Linked DNA regions of Callithrix jacchus. The protein of the gene in region 1 purifies or fractionates together with the protein of each later gene. This does not show direct contact. Links are inferred from orthologs where the notes say so. Each region holds a gene or a part of one and is shown on either strand. Other genes may lie near its edges.

Region 1 (5,747 bases):
AATGGCCACCCTCTGCGACATGGGTGTTTACTTCCATCATAGGATGCAGCCAGTCTTTAATTACCTTGTTTATTACCTGAGTCCCTCGCTAGACTGGGACACTCAAAGTGGGTGTGGGCTTTGTCTAGCACCAAGCACAAGGCCAGGCACAGGAAAGGGACTCGGTAAATATTTGCTGAATAAATACACAAGAGAAATGCACATAGAGGCATACGGGGCAGGCAGAACACTCGACCCACCCCACAGGGAAGGGAAGGAGTGGCAGAGATGGGACAAGTAACTTCCAGACACGCAGCTGGCTGACTCCCAGGCCCTCCACAGCTGCGGTGGCCTGGAGCCGTGACCACACGTCCTGATTCCTCCTCCATCTTCACCTCCAAACCCTGTTGAAGAATGAGGTCAGAAGGGGTGGATCCTTAAAAACTTAAAAGAAGATACATCAAAGGGCCAAGTGCGGCTGGGCACAGTGACTTGTGGCTATAATCACAGGACTCTGGGAGGCTGAGGTGGGAGGATCACTTGAGCCAGTGAGGTTGAGGCTGCAGTGATTGTGCCACTGCACTCCAGCCTGGACGACAGAGTGAGATCTCAGCTCAAAAAATGAAAATAAAAAAAAAGTTGGCAGAGCACAGTGGCTCACACCTGCAATTCCAACACTTTGGGAGGCTGAGGTCAGGGGTTCAAGACTAGCCTGGCCAACATGGTGAAACCCCATCTCTACTGAAAATACAAAAATTATCCAGGTGTGGTGGCACGTGCCTGTAATCTCAGCTACTTGGGAGGCTGAGGCAGGAGAATCGCTCTCAGGGAGGTGGAGGTTGCAGTGAGCCGAGATTGTGCCACTGCACTTCAGCCTGGGCAACAGAGCGAGACTGTCTCAGAAAATAAATAAAATGAAATAGAAAAAGAAAAAAGTGCCAAGTGTGATGGGAGCGGCCCCATCACCTGGCTCAGGGAAGATCACAAGAAAATTCAGAAAAGAGAATTCCTTTCTCTGCGCTTTCTTGGAACACCTGGAGTCTGGTTCTCAGGTTTAGACCCATGAGGACTAAATCCAGTGGCTCCTAATTCCAGAAGCTTTCCAGGACTGCCCTCCCCGGCTGCTAACCCAGGTCACTCCTAGTCCTACCCTGACCACAGGGAACTGGAAGTGTGTATCCCATGAGGCCTTGTCCATTCTTTTTGTTTTCCCCTGAGACGGAGTTTCACTCTTGTTGCCCAGGCTGGAGTGCAGTGGCACAATCTAGGCTCACTGCAACCTCCACCTCCTGGGTTTAAGTGATTCTCCTACCTCAGTCTCCCAAGTAGCTGGGATTACAAGCATGTAATCCCACCACTCCAGGCTAATTTTGTATTTTTAGTAGAGACGGGGTGTCTCCATGTTGGCCGACCTCAGGTGATCCACCCACCTCGGCATCCCAAAGTGCTAGGATTACAGGCATGAGCCACTCCACCTGGCCCGCCTCGTCCATTCTTGGCCACTCCTCCAGGAAACGCCTGGATAGCCAGGACTTGGGGACTCTGGATGTTCAGAAGGTGGGGACGGGCTGAATGAATGAGTTCTAACTTTGCCCACGCACCGTTCTACACAGTGGGAATAATAGAGGGAAGAAAAATGAAGATCCTGCTTCCATAAAACTTGTCACAGGATGGACCCTTCCAACTCTGCCCTCGGGGACACAGCAGGAGGGGCCGGCTCCCTTCTCTGAATTGTTGCACTTGAAACCGCCTTCGCAACAACTGTACCTGAGGAAATTATGACAGCAAAAAGAGATCAGACCTAAGCAACTCCATCTTGCTTGTAACCTTTAAGCTGTCCTTGCTCTTTCCTGGGCATAGGCCGAACTAACCTTGGGAAGAAATTCAGTCTATAGTTTGACTCTGAGACAAGATTGGTAATAGCTTTTTCCAGAAAACACCCTCTTCTTACCTGGGGACCAGTCAGCCTTTGGAGGACTGACAAGCTGCAAGATTAGAAATTATCGTTTAGGGGTCACGAAGCCTCTGGCTCAAGAGTCTGAACCTCCCCAAATTGCTCCTGGGGATAACATCACTATTATAAAAATCTAAGATCAGTGCTTGAGATATTTTTGCAGACCCTGTACTAGGTGGATCCGCTGACACCACCCAGACGAGTAATGTGGCTCAACCAGTCCCGCAATCCCACCCACGGACAGAATCCCACCCAGGAACAGAAGACAGCAAGAAAATCTCACTTCGACCTCCTCAGGACTCCATCTCCAACCTCAGGAAGCTCCAGCCAATCAGCACCCCCCACTTCCTGAGCCCCTACCGACCAAATCATCTTAAAAACTCGGATCCCCTAGGCTGGGTACAGTGGCTCACCCTGTAATCCCAGAACTTTCAGGAGGCTGAGGTGGGTGGATCACCTGAGTTCAGGAGTTCCAGACCAGCCTGGCCAACATGGTGAAACCCTGTCTCTACTAAAAATACAAAAAAATTGGTCGGACATGGTGTGGTTGACGCCTGTAATCCCAGCTACTCAGGAGGCTGAGGCAGGAGAAAAGCTTGAACTCGGGAGGCAGAGGTTGCAGTGAGCCAAGATTGTGCCACTGCACTCCAGCCTGGGCAACAAGAGTGAAACTCCAGTCTCCTGCAGAGCTGGCTCTGTGTGAATTGCTTTCTCCATTGCAATTCCCCTGTCTTGATAAATCGGCTCTGTCTAGGAAGCAGGCTAAGTGAACCCACTGGGTGGTTACACACTGACCCCAGGATTTAGGGAGCATCTCTTACTAATCCTCAGCTCTGATGCAGCCACCCCTGTGGGTCCCTCCTGGTTACTAAATCTCCCACTGTCTCACAGAGTCTGGAAGTCACATCCCCAACAAAGGCCTAGATTTCTCTCCCTGAAAAAAGAAGCGCCAGATGCTGATGGGCCAGGAAATTCCCAGCTCCGACTTCGTTTTCCGATCTGCACATTGAGGACACGGGCACTTTCTGGCCCAGATCCAGAACTTCCATAATCACAAACATCTGGCCCTGCAGAGACCTGGGCCTCAGTTTTTCCTTCTGTGTATTGGGAGGATGCACTTTATCCACTCCTGCTCAAAATGCCCCCTTCCCCTGGAATGACATGCTATGTGACCCAAGGAGAAAGACCACACCCCAGCACCAGGCCCGATTTTCAGACAGAAAACAACAGGCCTAGGACGCTGTGCTGCGAGCATTTTATGCATCTTGCAAGCTCTGAAATTCCTAAAGCTAAGTTTCACAACTCAGACTGGCCCCCTACTTCCCAGCACTCTAATTTTCAATCTGGGAGGTCTGACCGGGCCCGAAGCGTTCGGGGCCCCTTCCCTGCCCAAAAACTTGCATTTGGCGGGCCCCCACCTTTTTTGACCTCAGTTTCCCCACCTGAGGGGAAAAAATGGGAAAAACTAAGTAAAGCGAGCCCGCTGTACTACGGATACAAGCCCGTGCAACCCTAAATCTCAGACACAGACGTCCTAGAGCCATCTGCAGTCTCCAGCCTCAGTTTCCCAGCCTCGTGCCGGGAGACGGAACGCGAGGCTCTGACTCTACGTTCACCCCGCGCCAACCCAACCGTCAGCGCCCGCCCGGAGGGCTCCCAACGCCTGCGGCTCCCGCCTCCCGATGAGACCCCGCCGTTGCCCTGCCCTCACCATGGTGCCGGCGGGGACCGGGCTCGCCGGCCACTTCCGCCACCGCCGCTGCACACGCTCCCGGCGGTCGTCGCAGCGCCGCGCGCCACTAGGCTGAAAGAAAGTGGCAGACACGCGAGCCAGTCAGCACTGGGCTCGAAGGGCGGCCAACCAATCCACGCGGAACACGGCGGGGCCCTCTGGGCGAAAGGGGCGGGCGGGCCGCGTTCCCGCCGGAGGAACGAGGAATAGAGCCGTAAAGTGTCGCGACTTGTAATGCAAAAGGGGGCGGAGCAACGCGCCCAGGCGCGGGGTGTTTTGTGGGTAAGCGCATGCGCAGGTGAAGCCGTCGGTCTCGGGCTCCACGCTGTGGGCAAAGCCAGTTAATGCCTTTCGTTTGCAGTCTTAGAGACAGCGAGGTCTCGTGGTGATTGGGACGTCCCTCAGGTCGCCCTTCGGACTCCTAGTTTTCTAATTCTGTAATTATCCAGGAACATCATTTAGTGGGTTGGAATCCTGACCACGCCCCTCGGAGCCTCAGTTTGCTGTAAAATGGGTTATAATAGTAGTGTCTGCTCCAAAAGGTTGCTTGCTGTGAGGATGAAATGAGTGAAACTATGTAAAAAGCACTTAAAACAGCGCCTGGCGATCGGGCGCGATGGCTCACGCCTGTAATCCCAGCACTTTGGGAGACCGAGGCGGGTGGATCACGAGGTCAAGAGATCGAGACCATCCTGGTCAACAAGGTGAAACCCCGTCTCTACTGAAAATACAAAAAAAATTAGCTGGGCATGGTGGCGCGTGCCTGTAATCTCAACTACTTGGGAGGCTGAGGCAGGAGAATTGCCTGAACCCAGGAGACGGAGGTTGCCGTGAGCCGAGATCGGCCATTGCACTCCAGCCTGGGTAACAAGAGCGAAACTCCGTCTCAAAAAAAACAAAAAACAAAAAAATAAAATTAGCCGGCAGTGGTGTAATCCCAGAATCGCTTGAACCCAGGAGGCAAAGGATCACGCCATTGTACTCCAGCCTGAACCCAGGAGGCAAAGGATCACGCCATTGTACTCCAGCCTGAGCAACTAGCGAAACTCTGTCTCAAAACAAACAAAAACAGGTCTGGCGCATATTAAGTACTTAACAATATACTTTGTGCCTGCTTCTGCTCACAGAAATGAACAAAACACAAAATTCGTGGCTCTCAGGGAGACAGTAAACAAAGTAAATAGGCAAATGCTGTTGTTTCCTGGGGCTGTAACAAACGCCTGCAAACTGAGAGGTTTAAAACAACAGAACGTGATTTTCTCACAGTTCAGGAGACCAGATTCTGAACTGAGGCTGTCAGTGGAGCTGGCTCGCTCCGGAGGCTCTGTGTGTCCTGTGCCTCTTCCTGGGTTCTGCTGGCTGCTGCCAGTCCTTGGAGTTCCTTGACTTATACATGGAGTCTTCTGCTTTCTGTCTGCCCCTGTCTTCACTTGGCCTTCTCTGTGTCTCTCAGGCTCAAATGTTTCTCTCTTTTCTTTTTTTGGGACAGACAGGGTCTCCATATGTTTGTTCAAGCTAGTCTCAGACTCCTGGGGTCAGGCCATCCTCCCTCCTCTCTGCTTCCCAAAATGCTGGGATTACAGGTCTGAGCCACTGAGCCCAGCCGCTCCTTTTTCTTTTTCTTTCTTTTTTTTTTTTTTGAGACAGAGTTTTGCTCTTGTTACCCAGGCTGGACTGCAATGGCGTGATCTTGGCTCACCGCAACCTCCTCCTCCTGGGTTCAAGCCATTCTGTCTCAGCCTCCCGAGTAGCTGGGATTATAGGCATGCTACGCCAGCCCGGCTAATTTTTTGTATATTCAGTAGAGACGGGGTTTCTCCATGTTGGCCAGGCTGGTCTCAAACTCCCAATCTCAGGCGATCCGCCTGCCTCAGCCTCCCAAAGTGCTGGTATTACAGGCATGAATCACCACACCCGGCCTAGCCATTCCTTTTTCTTACAAGCACACTCCTTTCTCTTATTAAGCTCACCCTAAATTCAGGATAATGCCATCTCAGGATCCTTAATTACATCTGCAAAGATCCTATCCTTTTTTTTTTTTTGAGATGGAGTCATTCTGTCACCCAGGCTGCAGTGCAGTGG
Region 2 (5,018 bases), on another chromosome or scaffold:
AAGATCTTTACTTTCCTCTGTCCTTTATTCATAATCTAATAATTTACAACAAAAATCAATGTATTATTTAGGCCAGGTGTGGTGATTCACACCTGTTATCCCAGCACTTTGGGAGGCAGAAGCAGGTGGATCACTTGAGGCCAGGAATCTGAGACCAGCCTGGCCAACATGGCAAAACCCCATCTCTACTAAAAATACAAAAATTAGCTGGATATGGTGGCACACACCTGTAATCCCAGCTACTCAGGAGGGTGATACATGAGGATCGTTTGAGCCTGGGAGGCAGAGGTTACAGCTAGCTGAGATTGCGCCAATACACTCCTGCCAGGGTGACAGAGTAAGAATCTTTTCTCAAAAACAGAAAAGAAAAAAAAAAAAAAAGACAAAAGCAACCCCTTATTAAAATCTATCCTTTCTTGCTCTTTTTTTGTTGCTTCAATAATTATCACAATAAAAATCTAAAGTATTTCCCTGTTACTTCTTTTAGGGGTACTGAAAATTAGAATACATTTAAAAAATCATGAAATCTCAAGTAGAAAAGGACCTAAAAGGGCACATGTCAAATCATTCATTCCAGGCTTGAATAAAGGCTGACTTTTGTATTTATTAAGGACAACAGTACTTTTAAAAACACTTTGAAACATCTTTATACATCCTTCCACTTATACAAATATCTGTATTTAATCATATCAGCAGCTTCTTAAATTTCTTTTATTATGGGCATTTTTCCTATGAGGACCTTACCTGGCTTATAGGCGTGCTCCAGTTTGGCCACCTGAGGGGTGATAAGCTTGGTGCGCTCCTTTTTAGGGCCATCACCTTGTATTTCTTCAGCAGCTGACAGTTTCTCCAGTTTTTCAAAGTAATTCTACCATGAGAAGATGATTTCAGATGTAACACAAGCATAGAACATGACTGTTCTTTACCATTAAATAATTTATACCAGTGACAGTAACACAAGTTCAACTCTAGAAATATACTGATCTCTAATTTTGTTAGATTGCTACAAATTTACTTTAGCCCAAAAAAACAAAAACAAAAACCCAGCCTTCAAGTTAGTTAACACCAATGGAAATTTCTTTAGACTGCCAATATTCTTAATTGAAAAAACAGGCTGGGTGAGACTCAAGCATCTAATCCCAGCCCTTTGGGAGTCTGAGACAAAACGATCACTTGAGGCCAGAAGTTTGAGACCAGCCCTGGCAACATGGTGAGACCCTGTCTCTACAAAAAATAAAAAAATTGAGCTGGGCATGGTGGCTCACAACTGTAATTCTAGTACTTTGAGGCCGAGGTGGGAGGATCACTTTAACCCAGGAGTTCAAGACCAGCTCGGGCAACATAGTGAGACATCATGTCTACAAAACCCAAAAACAATAGCTGGGGTATGATGGTGCGGGCCTCCCCAGCCCTTTGGGGAGGCTGACGCGGGAGGGTCACAGGGAGTTCAGGAGGTTGAGGCTGCAGTATGGCACTTCAACCTGGGTGACAGAGGAAGACCCTATCTAAAAACAAAAATAAAAATAAAATAATTAGTGTGGTGGTACACACCCATAGTCCTAACTACTCAGGAGGCTGAGGTGGAAAACTGTTTGAGCCCATGTTGGCCAGGCTGGTCTTGAACTCCTGACCTCAAGTCATCTGCCGAAATGGGCCTCCCAAACAAGAGTTCGAGGCTGCGGTGAGTTAAACTGGACCACTGCACTCCAGCCTGGCAACAGAGATCCTGTCGCAATCCCACCCCTAACCAAAAACACATATTATTGATGCCAAAAGGGATTTGAAAATATTAGTCTGAGAGCCTCTATATATAAGTAAAAGGCATATAAGTAAACTGTAGTGAATAGCGCAAGAGACTAAGTACCTCAAAAGAAAATTTTACAAATATTTAATTGTACCAATATTTAAATGAGTATCCTTACTAGTGTAAGGGACCAAACTATTATCCACAAAACTAGCACAGAGTATTTACCTGGTAATAAAAATCATCCAGGTAGGGATCAGTGCTTTGCAGTTGCATCATCTGGATTTTAGAGACCCAATCCTTTTCCCTCTGCAACATGAGATTGGCGTATGGATCCTTTCGGAGATGATCTTGATGACTGCTCCGGTGACTTCCTCTATCTCCTGCACCATTGAGATTCCGATGCTGACTGAAAAACATACACCATATTCACTCCAAGTGGGCAAATTAATTACGATTTTTAACAACAGATGAATAAACCAGGTCACTTTCTTTTTTTTTTGAAAAAAAAAAAAAAAAAAGATTCCCTGGGCAGGCACGGTGGCTCACACCTGTAATCCCAGCACTTTGGGAGGCCAAGTTGGGCAGATCACTTGAGGTCAGGAGTTTGAGACCAGCCTGGCCAACATGGTGAAACCCTGTCTCTACTAAAAATACAAAAATTAGCCGGGCACCCACCTGTAATCAGGAGGCAGAGGTTGCAGTGAGCCGAGACTATACCACTGCACTCCAGCCTGAGCAACAAGAGCAAGGCTCCAAAAAAAAAAAAAGATTCCCCTTTGCTTTTCTTAAAGGGGGAGTGAAAAAGAACCAAGTCTTAATAGAATTTAAGAGGAAAGAGCTACGTAATAAATAATCAAGAAATAAATCTAAGATCTGAGTATCTTACCATATGCTAAGATACTTTTATAAGCCCTAGAATAACTCTGTGAGGTAGGGAGTCTTCTCTTCCTTACTTAAGACAACAGACAGATGCCAAGAGAGCTCAAATAACTTGTCCAAAGCCATACAGCTAGTGGGGGACTAAGGGATTTTAACACAGGCTGATTTGGCTCTGAAGTCTACATAAATTTTTTTAACTCATTGAAAATCATTAAATATTTCAAATGCAGACAAAAAGCCCAGAAAATACTAAAATAAATATCCATTTACCCATCACCTAGACCTAATAGAAAAAAAATGTATCTGGTCAAATTCGTTTCAAATATTTTAAAGTAATATTAAAATAACACAGTGTTACATTAATAGTTAGATTCCTGTTGTGCCCTTCCAGACCCAGTTTTCAGCTTCTCTTCCCTCATAGAGGAACTACTATTATGCCCTTGGTAGGTATCCTCCATGAAATGTTTTTATAATTTTATTACTTGTGTATCTGTCTTTAAATATTACACAGTATTATTCTGTATCCCTTTTAGTTTTACATAAATGGTACGTGTAATTCTGATCCTTGCTTCTTTACTCAATATTAAGCTTTTCATATTTATACATGTGGATAATATATACAGGTTTATGGATATGAAGCAAACTTAATAAAAAAAAAACCTAAATAGCATGTTGCTATACTGTCAAAATTAAAAGCTGAATTAAGAAGCCATAAAGGAGTTGGACAAGCACTTACTTTCTATTCTGTTGCTGTCTCTGATGCAAGAGTCGACGGTGCTGTGGATGAAGGTGAGTTGTGTCCGGTCTAAACATTGGGGCCTGAGATCTAAGAAAAACGTAAAAGAGGTTCTCAGTTTTGTCATCCCGATGATTTGAAATTTTAAAGAATGTGTCAGTACAGGATAACTTCATACAGGTTAACTTAAGGGACTACAAAAGTCTATTTGGGCCAGTTGCGGTGGCTCACGTCTGTAATCCCAGCACTCTGAGAGGCCAAGGCAGGTGGAATACTTGAGGTCAGGAGTTTGAGACCAGCCTGGCCAACATGGTGAAACCACATCTCTACTAAAAATACAAAAATTAGCTGGGCATGGTAGCAGCTGCCTGTAGTCCCAGCTACTTGGGAGGCTGAGGCAGTAGAATCACTTGAGCCTGAGAGGCAGAGGTTTGTAGTGAGCTGAGATTGCTTGCATCACTGTACTCCAGCCTGGGAGACAGAGAGAGACTCTGTCTCAAAAAAAAAAAAAAACAAAGTCTATTCTAAGGAGACCTTTTAGAAGCAAAAGATAGTCCTATTTTTACATATCTTCCACAAAGACCAAATTCTAAAAGGATGATCATGAAATCTGAGTGAATTAGCAGTAAAGCAGAATTTTTTTTTTTTTTTTTTTTGCTTGTAACTGTTTAACAGAAGTCTAAGTAGATTTAATGTACTCAGCTTCAACTATGTGGGAATGTCATTAAAGATACATGTGCGATAGTTAATATTGCATGTCAACTTGGCTAGGCCTTAATACCCAGTTATTTGGTCAAACACTGTTTAGATGTTGCTGTGAGGGTATTTTGTATAGATGTGTTTAACATTTATAATCAGTTTACCTTACAAAAGAGATTACCCCTAATAATGTGGGTGGACCTCATCTAGTCAGTTGAAGGCCAAAGAACAAAACTAAAGTTTCCCAGAAGAAGGAAGTCTGCCTCAGGACTAGAACACAGAAGTCCTGCTTGAGTGTCTTGACTGCTGACCTGCCGTACTTATTTCAAACTCAAGACTGCAACTTGAGCTTTTACCTTTTTCTTGCCTGCTGGTCTGTCCTATGGATTTCGAACTTGTCAGCCTCTACAATCACATGAGCCAATTTCTTAAAATAAAACCTGCTCACATGAACATTTTTGCTGTCTTTCTTCTACTGGTTCTCGTGTTTCTCTTGAAAAATCCTGACTGCTACAATACGATATGTAATAAAATAGAACTTCACTGAAACAGGAACTTGAACCCCTGTTGTTATAAAATCAGAGGATAAAAGCAAACAACTTAGCTAGTGTGAAAATTATCTGACTTTTTAGCATCTATCTCTCGGTTCTATACCCTCTGATAATGTTAGGAAAATCTGATTCACAAGAAAGCCGAGAGATTGTCAAACATTTCCGTGTTTGCTAACTTGAGGATCTGATAACATCTTAAAATTTATTAGTTAGCAAATATCAAGAGACTTACAAAACTACACATCCACAATCAAGAGACTTGCTTGACAATCAATAAGCAGCAGCATTGATTTTCATATACCTTAGGTTTTGCAGGTGAGGTCCTGGACCAGGAGGGTGCTGGTGTGGAGGTGGTGTAGCAGAGGGTGGAGCACTAAAGAAGGCACGGAAGCCTGGTGCTGGGGGA

The links. Proteins that work in one complex are often made in the same cells at the same time.
Region 2: the proteins of LSM4 (region 1) and PATL1 purify together in Homo sapiens (co-immunoprecipitation; 4 studies listed by BioGRID and IntAct, with this or other methods). This does not show direct contact. The link is inferred for Callithrix jacchus from reciprocal best matches to the Homo sapiens genes LSM4 and PATL1.

The regions. Positions count from the first base shown.
Region 1 is NC_133523.1:17,037,925-17,043,671, forward strand, and holds the start of LSM4 (U6 snRNA-associated Sm-like protein LSm4), read right to left. Parts: upstream 3,710-5,747; 5' UTR 3,648-3,709; coding exon 3,645-3,647; intron 1-3,644. UniProt on the Homo sapiens protein: Plays a role in pre-mRNA splicing as component of the U4/U6-U5 tri-snRNP complex that is involved in spliceosome assembly, and as component of the precatalytic spliceosome (spliceosome B complex).
Region 2 is NC_133511.1:116,971,323-116,976,340, forward strand, and holds part of PATL1 (protein PAT1 homolog 1), read right to left. Parts: coding exon 4,914-5,018; intron 3,453-4,913; coding exon 3,363-3,452; intron 2,154-3,362; coding exon 1,973-2,153; intron 869-1,972; coding exon 745-868; intron 1-744. UniProt on the Homo sapiens protein: RNA-binding protein involved in deadenylation-dependent decapping of mRNAs, leading to the degradation of mRNAs. Acts as a scaffold protein that connects deadenylation and decapping machinery.